Linked DNA regions of Danio rerio. The protein of the gene in region 3 interacts with the protein of the main gene of each other region in a biochemical or structural test. Links are inferred from orthologs where the notes say so. Each region holds a gene or a part of one and is shown on either strand. Other genes may lie near its edges.

Evidence for each region.
Region 1: of the proteins of amot (region 3) and lats2, one has a biochemical effect on the other in vitro, tested with the Homo sapiens proteins (3 studies listed by BioGRID). The link is inferred for Danio rerio from reciprocal best matches to the Homo sapiens genes AMOT and LATS2.
Region 2: the proteins of amot (region 3) and nf2b form a complex in vitro, tested with the Homo sapiens proteins (2 studies listed by BioGRID and IntAct). The link is inferred for Danio rerio from reciprocal best matches to the Homo sapiens genes AMOT and NF2.

The regions. Positions count from the first base shown.
Region 1 is NC_133184.1:22,913,583-22,917,684, reverse strand, and holds part of lats2 (serine/threonine-protein kinase LATS2), read right to left. Parts: coding exon 3,973-4,102; intron 3,861-3,972; coding exon 3,754-3,860; intron 3,493-3,753; coding exon 2,962-3,492; 3' UTR 1-2,961. UniProt on the Homo sapiens protein: Negative regulator of YAP1 in the Hippo signaling pathway that plays a pivotal role in organ size control and tumor suppression by restricting proliferation and promoting apoptosis.
Region 2 is NC_133196.1:27,251,823-27,255,924, reverse strand, and holds part of nf2b (NF2, moesin-ezrin-radixin like (MERLIN) tumor suppressor b), read right to left. Parts: intron 3,488-4,102; coding exon 3,365-3,487; intron 3,215-3,364; coding exon 3,131-3,214; intron 3,052-3,130; coding exon 2,983-3,051; intron 2,892-2,982; coding exon 2,809-2,891; intron 2,693-2,808; coding exon 2,617-2,692; intron 778-2,616; coding exon 640-777; intron 542-639; coding exon 467-541; intron 387-466; coding exon 273-386; intron 1-272. UniProt on the Homo sapiens protein: Probable regulator of the Hippo/SWH (Sav/Wts/Hpo) signaling pathway, a signaling pathway that plays a pivotal role in tumor suppression by restricting proliferation and promoting apoptosis.
Region 3 is NC_133196.1:41,177,170-41,181,271, reverse strand, and holds part of amot (angiomotin), read right to left. Parts: coding exon 3,799-4,102; intron 3,262-3,798; coding exon 2,748-3,261; intron 2,144-2,747; coding exon 1,999-2,143; intron 1-1,998.

The DNA of each region.
Region 1 (4,102 bases), on a different chromosome or scaffold from region 3:
TCATTCCTTAAAATACAAAAACATACATTAGAGGAAAAAAGTTCCATCATCACACAGCTCCAAACACAGTCAAAGATTGTCAGTCAACATTTTCAAAAGTAAAACAAAGAATCCATCCTCAGCACAACACACGCATTACATTCAAACCCTAAACCTGACTCTGTGAGAGATTCGTAGAAAGCTCATGCCTTTTCACTGAGTGGTCCAATCTGACAAATACAGGGAAGCAAAGCATCTGCAACACTTGCTGTCACACTCCATTCTACTCTGATTGAACCAAAAACATGATGACAATTTAGGTACAAGTCTGAATTGAATATATTTTTAGGAATTTATGTGACTTTTAGGAGTGAGCAATATATAAAAGCGGATCATCACTGGCTGTTACTTTAAAACTCATCCAGTCAGACGTCATACAGGGTAGTTTGACTGACTTCAATCAAGCTTCACTACAAATGATTAAACATTATTATATGGACTTATTAGGGATCCTTATCACTGACCAATCACATACAATGTGTTTCCATATCCACCATGCTACGACATCCAAATACATCTCCTTCAGAGTCTCAATGACAATCATTCACTCTTTTTTTCGTCTTTCTCCAGCTATCATCCAAATGCCGCCTCTTACGTTCAGGACCGGCCTGAGTGCAAGAAATGACGGCATTTCCATTCTTTCCAGAAATACTGATCAGCACGTGGTAAACACACCCACACATTCATTAGAAGGCACACAGTTCGTCTTACATCGGATCAATCACACTGACAATCAAAACCACACTTTTTACACAAAGAGAAAGTATAATTGAAAGGTTGATGATAATATAGTGTAATATTAATAACAATAAGCAGCATTGGGTCATGAAACTATATTGAAAATAGATATAAATCAATAGAATATATACTTTTAGATAGCATAATTCAGTTTTGAAGTTATAAAGGCTATTTGTTGTATTTAGAAAACTATATAATGTATTTCTGTATTGCACATAGTTATACCATCAGATACATTTTTCTTTTGTAACTATCTTTCACCATTTTCGTTAAAGTTTTTGCCTCAAAGTATTTTTTACATTTCAGTCATAGACTGTCTTGTTGTAATACTGTGCTGTGTGAGCAGCCTTGATGACAAAACATCTTGCAATTGTTTGATTACATTTGTGAGTGTGTGTGTGTGTATAATAAAATAAGTTCACTGATAGTGACAGACAAGATCATTTCCAGTGGATCTGGATAAGCAAGAACACACACAACAAAACCACCCGTCTGACTTTTAAGATCTTCTTATGAAACTAAATGCAATTAAGATGAGGTGGGAAATATGATACATTTTCTGAGATAAAAAAACAGAGTTACTTGTGATGAAAGGCGTATAATCTTTTTGCATAACTAGAAAAGGATATAGCTGTAGCCTCAGCTCTTGGAGTTAATTTATATAATTTGTTCCGGATAGCCAACTGCAGCGGTCTGAGAAAACACACTTCAAAACAAAACGATGTGTCTTGCAAGTGTTAGATACACACGCAAGCAGCTGATGAATGTAAGCAGCTATTGGGAACGAAATCATTAAGCCTTAAAACAATGAAACTATTTAAATCAAGCCAGGCAAGGTAAATGCTTGTTGAATTTAAATACCACCTGAATGAAACAGCAACTGATATAACACAACTAAGCAAAAATAACTAATTTTAAAACTGCAATGCAACTGGTAAGCAAACATTAAGCAGGATTTAGGCCTTTTAATATTCACAATTTAAGAGTGTTAATTACCTCTTACATTTTCATATTGTGAATGATATTTTCATATCATATCCGTTTTTTTGTGGCATTATGTATTTAATGACTATACTTATGCTTAGCCTCAGCTCTCAAGTAACAGGCGGTTGTTTAGACAATTGAAGTATGTTTTAAAAACCTTTAATAATTGTAATAATGGGAGTTTTAAGATCCCATGTCCATGAAGTGCTGCCTGTACATCAAAACATTTTATTTTAATATTGTGTCATGACTGAGAGCACCGTTAGGCATGAAACATAAATGAAGGATAACTGTATTATATTTACAAAAGACTATTTTATTAATTAATTAATAATTTATTGTCATTATTAATTATTAACTGCAAAATCCTGCATGGTCTTTTGGACAGACTTTGCATGAAGAAGTGACCTAATACTGTCAGTCCATAATATAGGACTTACATCTTCGAAAAGAAGACACTTGACAATGTCACTCTGAACCACTTGGTGGCGCCACAAAATCCTCTAAAACAAAGTTTGCTCGCTTTAAAAAAAGACTGAGATCATATAATTCCAAATCTGGCTTCAATACCGCAGAAAAAAATAGGTTTTACAGCACATTTATGGATTTATAGCTATAAAATTCAGTTTGGTATTATGAACTTTTAAAAATAAACCACAGAGCTACCATCCCAAGCCAAGCACTCTTGTAATCCTTCACCATAAACTCTCGGGTGTTTGGAATGTTAGCATCACCAGGTTGAGAGAGGTGAGGGATGTGTTAACATATGACGTAAGACTGGGACTCTTTCTCCCAGTGGAATAAAAGAATAGGACACGGTTGACACACAACACACTAACCATGAGTAGAGTGGTTTAAACGTCAAACCACAGACCAACAGCTACACATCTCTGTTTTTGTGCTCTCATAGAAGAGTATCAGTCACATCAACGTCCATATGCAGCTGCAGGTCTTGTGTATTTCCTTGGTCCCAGGTCAGAGCTTCAGTCATTTTTAAATGATACTGCATAATGGTTTATGGGAATAAACACATTTTACTTGGAACTTTCTGCACTAAATTTCTGATGTTCTTCCAAGCATTTCAGGCAACACCCTGAAGAAAAAATAGTGTTGAAAGGAAGTAGAGAAGATGCAGCGTGTTAACTGGTGAGGTCCTCCATGGGTAAAGGCAGAGCAGCATGAACAACCAATCCAACGTTTTCACACATAAACCGGCTCACACCCTTCCCCTTGCTCTTCCTCTTCATGGGCCTCTTCCTCCTCCAGCTCAGGCTTCAGGCTGCCGGCCCCGTCACTGCTGGACAGGCTTTGTGTCGCCTCTAGGGGTTTGGGATAACGGAATGGACAACCATTATCATCAAAAAATCTTCGGAAAGTAAACTCATAGAAGGCATGTTCAGGGTGTTTGCCGTGAGGAGAACAGAGGGTGTCCCAAGTGCGGGTGCTATCCCCACTATCACTCCAGGCGCCTGGGCCTCCCTCCTCTTCAACAGGATCAAAGTTGGATGTATCCATGGGGTGGGCAATTTTTGGTCGATATGGTGCAGGTTGTGTCCGAAGATTGCTGGAGAAATCCACCTCGGAAAAAAAAGGATGAGCCTTTATTTCTCCAGCCCCATTGCCTCCTAGACGCTCTTCAGCAGAGCAGCAAAGCTGGCCAATAATATCGACTGCCTCTGGGCTTAGTTTTACTTGTGGTGGCACTTGCAAAGTGTTCTCCCAGTTTATCACCTGTAGAGGTAGTGACATCAACAAAAGTTTATTTCTTGTCATCAAAACTCTTAACCTCAAATATTATAAAATATTATTTAAAGAAAACAAAGATGTGCAGTCCTTTTTCCTGCATGGGCACTGTCTTGCCTAATTGAATCACCTATTCAAGTTTTCAGGATTACTAGAAATTTCCAAGTATGTTGGGGTTGGTTGGAACTCTGTATGATACTTGCCCTCCAGGAGCAGGATCAACTAAAAACATGCATACAGAACTCTTACCTTAAGCTGCGTCTCTGTTGGGGTTGGAGCAAGAAAGGGTGGTTGGCCAACCAGCATCTCAAACAGGATCACTCCCACACTCCACCAGTCGCACAGCTGTGTGTATCCTGTGTATTAAAATTAATTAAAAGGAGCAATTAAAAAGAAAAAGGTTCTATAGGCACTAGCAATTCTTTGTAATGTCCTTGTACTTCCGAGTGACTATGTGAATATTCTTACCTTTGCGCAAAAGCACCTCAGGGGCAATGTAGTTAGGGGTGCCCACCAAAGAATGCGCCAGGCAGCGCTGGTGTTGTCGAGTTGCTCTCTGTTCCAAAGTCATCAGCCGGTCACCACAACGGCAATTAGA
Region 2 (4,102 bases), about 14 Mb from region 3:
CATTTTCTGGATAAAAAGAAGTAAATTTTAAAGTAAAAAGATAAAAATCGCAGCCTAATACGGTTTAGAAATACCATGTGCTTATATTGCGTTTTTTTCACGATTATGATTAATTGAACAGCCCTACTGCATAAGTTATATTTTAATGTTTAAACAAATAAATGTTTACTATATTTCATTGTATATCTGCATAAACATTAAATTCATAAAGAAAAGAATTAATTTGGAGTAACACCACTATGGTTAACATATGTAGAATGGAAGAAAATTACCTTCTTCCTAGCTTTCTCCTCTTTGGCCTGAGCCTTCATCTGCTGCACTTCTATTGAATCCACCTTCCTCCTCCTCATGAACAGGTCATGGTTCCCAATACACAGCTGTAAGATCTAAAATATACAGTAAAAAATTTATGTGAGCAACTACTTGAATATACTTTATTACACAAATACTCATAGAAGTAGCTCACCAGTTTGTTAACTCTAAGCTGGGATGAGTAGAATTTAAACACTTCCTTTTTCTTGTCCAGTGGTTTGATAGTAAACTGAGAATAGACAAATACAGAATGTTTAAATATTTTTGTGAGAGTTCTGTAAAATTATTTGCATATTTTGTGTTTAAAAAAAGAGGTAATCTTTCAACCTCTTTCTCGCTGTAGGAGATGTTTCGGATTCCACTCCAGGGGAAGGATTTGTTAGGGCTCAGCTTGTTGTTGGGGTTGTAAATGTGAAGACCCTGAGCATCAACTCCAAGAAGAAGCTCTGTGTCCCTCTTATTTTGCTGTGAAACATCATGGTGGGACAGTTTGAATTGTACATTAGAGTCAGAAATCAACCATGTTGTGGAAAAAAAATGGCTTCACAATGTCATAAAAGGTCAAATTAGACAATATCTATTATCAAAATGTAAAAAATAAAGAAAATATTAAACAATTATAAATATTAAATCTAAATATATATATTAGTGGTCCTTCACTATAATGCGGTTCACTTTTTGCGACCTCGCAGTTTCGCAGATTTTTTCACATGTTTTTTTTCTACAGTGCCTGACTGGCTGTAGACCGTTGCCAATCAACATTCTCCGTGCCATGTCTTCTGTACAGTACAGATCGCTAAAGGTGTGCTTCTGAAGTGCTGTACAGTATGCAAGCTTTCTCCCCACAATATCAATGAAACGTTCTGCACCATCAAAGGCACTTGTGGTAGCACTCAAAAAGCAGAGGAAGATGCTAACCATTTCACAAAAAGTTAAACTTCTGGACATGCTAAAGAAAGGTAGATGTTACGTGACGGCAGGGCACCATTATGGAATAAATAAGTGAAGATCAGATGGTTTTGATCTTTGGTTTTATTCTACAATACTAGACTTATTTTTCTACAAAGGTTTGAACTTTGAGTGTTTAAACAACAGAAAAAAGTGTGAAAATATTATGCTTGTCCGAGAAAAGTGTATAAAGTGTGTAGTGATGGGGTTTTTTAGCCTTATAACATCTATATTTGTAAAAATAAAGCTGACAACTTAACCGATTTCACCTAGTGCGAGTTATTTTTAAAACAATGTAATGTAAATGTACATTGTGATTAGATGGTTGTAATCCCTAATATACTTAATTCTGGTTCATTCATTACAATGGATCTCCAAATCTGTTCACGTGATTAGAAATCAGGCTTGATCAGGCAAATTCAGACTCGATCGGAATCCGACATTACCTCCGGATCAGCAACGTGTGCGGTGTGACATCACTTTGTTGCAGAGACGCTACTGGTAAAATGGCGGAAAACTAGAACACAGAAGCTGCTTAAAACGGACAGGGCAGGTATGTCTGCAGTCTGAAGGTATTAAAAGGTTGATGAGACAGCCTCAAACCTGACAAGGTAGAGATGTTAGTTTTCATTAAAAAAACATTCATCTCCTTCTGTGAAACTTACTACTGTGATGACAGTTAGAGTTAAGAGTGCAGTTCCTAAAAGCAAATTACTGATTTCGCAAACACTTTGGCACTTTTATTTATTTTTTGTTTACAAATCTGCCGGGTATTTTAAGTTGAGGTGCTATTTTTTTTTTTTTTTTTACATGTGATTGTTTTTATATTTACTGTTGCACTTAAGTCCAAAGGTGAAGAATTCATGTTATTTATTAATTGATTGTTCAAACTACTTTCCCATAGATGGGTTGCAGCTGGAAGGGCATCCGCTGCGTAAAAACTTGCTGGATAAGCTGGCGGTTCATTCCGCTGTGGCGACCCCGGATTAATAAAGGGACTAAGCCGACAAGAAAATGAATGAATGAATGAATGAATGAATGAATGAATGAATGAATGAATGAATGTTCAAACTACCTCACATAAGTGCTCTGTTTGTTAACAGAATTGTTGAATGTTAAAATAAGGTGAATTAAATAAAAAATAAAAAAAACATCCTGGATCTGTTTCTTCACTCATCTTTATTTTTTTAATGTATTATAGAAGCATCGGATCGGGTTTCAGTATCGCTATATGTTCAAAATCAAATGACTCGGGGGCAAAAAAAAATAGGGAAATCCCTATTCATAACTATATGGAAAAATGGACTACTGAAAATTCAATTTCAAGCCAACTTTAAAAAATAAAAAAATACTTACTGTAATCGAAAAGTAGCTAACTCCATACATGTCTAGATCCTGGGCTATTTTAAGATATTCCATCTCAGCCTCGTCCCTACAAACAAAGCTCAATTGTAGTTCATCTTTCATGAGGAAGGTGGTTTAGACACACACACACACACACACACACACACACACACACAAACAGCAGCAGGACGTGCACAGTTTTACCTTGTGATGTTTCTGTGTTCAGCATACCAAGCGGTTATCTTCTCCTCCCACATGTCTGGTGTCATCTGATACTGCATCAACACCTGCACAATAAAGCACACAGATCACATAAACCATCTTAAAGAATGCAAATGTTGGCTTATTTTCAAGTAGTCAAGTAGAGCCATTACTCACTCTTTTGGGCAAGAGTTCATCTTGAGCTAAGAAACCTGGTTTGTGAAAGTTTGGATCGTAGTCCCCGTACTGCAGAAAGAATGTCATATTTAATAAAACGATATACATTGAGTGTGTCCCTTCATAAAACACTGATACGGAGACCTACCTTGGCTTGAACAGCATATGAGGCTAAAAGAACGGAGGCTTCTGGAGAACAAAATATCTCCTCATCTAGTATCTGCTTTTTAACCTTTGTAAAAAAACAGAAGGGATTTTAATCTCAAGAATTTGGCCTGAAGAAAATAAGATTATTCATTCCCCCAAATGAGGTTTCTGTACAGCGGAAAAGACCATGATGGAGAGCAATCATGCCAAATTCACAAGAACAACTCCCACATACTTGTAAGAAGAAGAGGTGCTGAGTAATTTCCTGAACGAGCTCGTCCTCAACTTTTTCTGGGAAGAATTTAGCAAGAAAGTGAAATGTTATCGGAGAGTCCTTTGGAACCTCTTGATCCAAAACCTAGATGGATTTAAAAAGTCAACAAATATGTTAGGGGCCAAACAACATCAAAATAAATTTCTCCTGAAGTCAAACCAAGGTGTTATGAAAATCAAAGGTCAGTCTGTAATAGAAACTGTATGCACCAACACCACGAAACTTGACTGCCATGAACTTGGTTAGTACTGTTTTTCTAGGATTGTGGATTAATTTAGTAAATTACGTTCAGTTTTTAATACAGACCAACAATTCAATTTGCTTTACAAGATTTCAATGTCACTATTCCCTCTTGCCTATATTTCACTTGGTTGTACTAATTGATCTTGAAGTGTACATATCCACTGCACATACATGTATACATGTTTTTTATCTATCTGCATACTTCTGATTATTAATAGCAACCTGTACATAAATTCATCTATTGTAAATCTCTGTTCACAGTTAATACAATCTGTTTATAATGTTCATAGTACATCCATATGTAAATATCACCATAGTTTTTCTATAATTGCACTTTATAACCTATATCCTGCACTTGATGCTATGGCACTCTTGGTTAGGCCAAAACTGAATTTTGTTACCTTGTACTTGTAAATTTGTTATGACAATAAAGCTGAATCTAATCTAATCTATTTT
Region 3 (4,102 bases):
AACAGCTGCACCTTCATTTGTGTCTTTTGAAAACAGCAAGAGCAGCAGTTCGTCTTTGCTGTGTCACTGTTTTGTCATGTTTCTGTGCTGCTGTGCATGCAAAAGTACTTAGTATGAGAATTATTTCATGCAAAACTTTTTTTTTTGCGTTTTATTTAGCCGCGCATAAATGTATGCCTATCTCTCATTCCGTGTTGTTCAAAAAGCTTGGTCCACAAACAAAAGCGAAACCTATGCTTATTGGTTGTGATATAGCGAGTTTGAACCAATCTGGGCATGGAGGAGGGACAATGCATCAATGTATCGTGTCTGATTTGTCCGGAGACACAGTGACGAGCGTTTCTTTGTCAAATCAGCGTTGTCAAATGTTGATGACGTAACCGCACTGATTCCGGAGCCTCTGAAAGTCCGCGAATGTTATGTGATACAGCACTGGAAAGCTGAGACTCTCTTCTTTATGCCAATCTTTGAATTGTATGAATCGGATCAGCGGATCAAAAGTTATTAAACATTTAAGAGCAATACTTATTTTTAGCCGCGGGCGGCTGTCTCGGTCTTTAAGGGTTAAAACCGTTGATATGCAATTGTTCATGGTATGATAATCGTGCACGTTCAAATCGTGGTAAACCGTCATACCGGTATATTGTTACAACCCTATACATATATATATATATATATACATACATATATATATACATACATATATATATACATATATATATATACATACATATATATATACATACATATATATATACATACATACATATATACATACATATATATATACATACATACATATATATATATATATATATATATATATATATATATATATATATATATATATATATATATATATATATATATATATATATACACACAAAAAGTCAACATATGCACCTTGTCCTTGACTTTTACTACACGCAGCGCACGCACATGAACAGTGAGTAAGAGAGGATATAAAAGCAAACAAGCTCTAAGGTAAAACCTGACGCTCAAGACATAATCTTTAAAATAATGACTTCTATTACAAATGTAGACAGTGGTTTGTGATATAAGAATTACAGCGGAGCATTATATAAATGCACATTTCCATAGAGCGCTTTTAGGTAGCCTGATATTTTTATTTCTTGGAAGAAAAAACATGGCAAAAAAAACAGCCGATGCTGGTTTTTAAAAAGGATTCAGTCAGTGTTTTCATTTTGTAATCTAAATTTGTAATTTAAGTGAAAAATAGGTAGACCTATTTGTTTTATTCTTTTTATTTAGCTTATTCTTGTTTCTATACTGGCGAAAACACTGCAGGTGCGTGAAAATGTTCTGTTGATAATATGTTCACATGTTAAAATCAATCAGTATTTTAAAATGCAATATTTATTGTGTCAGAAACAAAATAGACACGTTAATTATTTTGTTTTAAATTAAATAATAATTTGATATTAATCTGACTAGTTAATGGTTAATATTCAGTTAACAAGCAGCGGTTTCTGGTTGGCAAAATTAACCAAAATGAGCATCCCTAGTTGCTCTGCAGACTCCAACTGCAACACATAGCACTGCCTGTATTAAACATGCACACTGATTTGATGTGGGAGTAAAGGTATTTAAACAAATAGCTTAAGGTGAAGTAATATTTAAAGTTTTTATACAAGTGTCCTTGTATGATTACAGTTAAACCACTGAGAATGTCACTCTGAATGTTTTGGCAATGTTTCCGGTGAATTTTCTGGGCTTTGAATGTCTCTGGGCCATTACTGTCTATGAAGGGTCACTGAGATCTCATATTTATGTTACAAGAAAAGGTCTCAGGGGATAAAAACCACAATTGGTAGAGCAATTTAAGCCAAGAACAACACAAACATGTTTTGAGATCAGTGACAATTTTACTGCTAAAAGGTGTAGTATAGTGGTAAAGTACAATTCATGAATCTTCCTTTCATAATAATCTCCTCCTAATACTTTCAGAATACTCCGATATATTGCTATGTTTCTCACCTCGTAGGTCCCTGTTGAAGTCGTGCACCCTGCGCACCTCCATCTCCAGCTTATTTCTCATGGTCTTCTCAAGAGCTTCCCTCTTTGTGGATGATTTAGCCAAGTTCTCGTAAGCTTCTGACACCATCTGGATCTCAGTCTCCATCTGTAAAGAGATTACATTGCTGAGGCCTCACAGAAACAACAAAACAGATTTTGTACAACTAAAACATAGCATGCAACATTGCCTTCCACTTTTGATGTGTCACTCTTGATGTTGATGTCACTCTTGATGTGTCACCTAAAAATCTTTTCAAAGCTTGTTGAATCAAAAGTTTAGATGGTTATCATGCCAGAGTTGATCCTTGGTCATCTGAGAGCTTATTATAATATTTATAAACTCTTTTTTCCATAGAAACACCAAACACTTTTAAACATCTTTGTTATTAAACACACCTGATTCAACTCATCAGCTTGTAAGTAGAATCTACAGGACTCCAGAAACAGAATAATCAGATACCCAACACATCCAAAATGTTTTCTGTTGCTGTGCCTCCAAGAACAAAGTTGAAAACACTGACCTATCCTGAACTGACCTACATTTGCACTGACATGGAAATGGTTTCATTTAAGTGGATGTGGTACAGGTTATGACCTAAATTGAGCAAGCATTAAACATGTCTTTCTCTATCTCACTTACTCAAGGGTCCCCAATTAAATATTTGATTGTGTAATGGTAATGTAATGAGAAACTTCAAAGACAGTCATACCTTTTGTAGTTTGGACACTTTCTCCCCACACACCTCCAGCTCTTGCTTAAGCAAGCGGTTTTCTTCAGACAGCATATCCACCATCTGCTGGGCACGGGCAAGCATGGCATAAGGATCCCCCTGCATGGAGAGTGGATGTGAGTAGTGTTGTGCTGGACTCTGTTGCTGCTGCTGCTGGGGGCCCTGTTGGTGGTACTGGTGCTGGAGCATGTGGAGGCCCCTTGGAGCTGACCCATAATGATCATGTGGAAACACGTGGCTCCGTTGATGAGGAGGATGGCCTGGGCCGTATGGATCACCTTGGTGAGAACCAGGCCCCTGTGAGCTTCGAGCACCTATGGGGAAGGGTGGCTCTCCCGAATGACCCATTGGTGGAAGCGCATGGGAAGCAGCCAAGATGCTGCTGAGAGTGGAAGACTGAGCACGGGAGAGAGAGCCTCCAGACGTAACCGAAGATGAAGGGCTGTGGTGATGGACGGACCTTTGAGAGTGGCTTGAACTCTCCTTACTTGACCTATTGAGGAGCAGAATAATGAATTATACTCACATCTTGATTGATTGCAAGAGTAGTAGACAAATTCTAGAGAACTTTGTGACCTACAAAATAAATTTAAACTTGCATAACCAACGGCTTCTTTCAAGACATTCAGTCACTGTTGTGAAACGACTATGTACTGCATACCAACCGTTCACAAAAATATTTTTCACAGGTCAACATTCCTGGTTCTCTACAACAATAATGGACAAACTGTCATGCTGTGACATGTTGTAGATGATTATTTGAATTTGATATGCATACTTTTGCTATATGCCACACACTTGCTCTACAGTGAATGAATTCAGGGAAACAGGCAAAACTTGCTTTTCCCATAACAGGTTTCCTGACAACATGTCCCAGCATTTAAGGGAAGGGCTGTTTTGAGACTCATCACCTGAAGTTTTTTAACAACTGATATGCCAGGGAATGTAATATGCGCTGTAAGGTGCATCGCACCAGTTCCCATAAAGTCCCAAAATTCAGCCCACTTCTTAGCCTTTAAGGCACACTCACCGAAAAGAGCCGTACTCAGGTGGTGGCTGGTACCGGACATGAGGAATGTCAGTCCTGGCTGGTTGGCTTGTACCGCGGTGGTCTGGGTGGAAGTGTCCAGGCTCCTGGTGCTGAGGCTGATGGTGCTGTTGCTGTTTGGGTGGAGAGGGCATACCTTTAAAAGGATAGTCTGGAGGTGGCCCCCTGTGTGGAGGCCCAGTAGGTTTGTAGTAGTCTCCTGGAAGTCCTGGTGGAGGCAGCTGGGGGGAAAGTGGTGAACTGGTAACAGGAGCATGGGCCTTGACCCCGCTGGTGGCCAATGAGA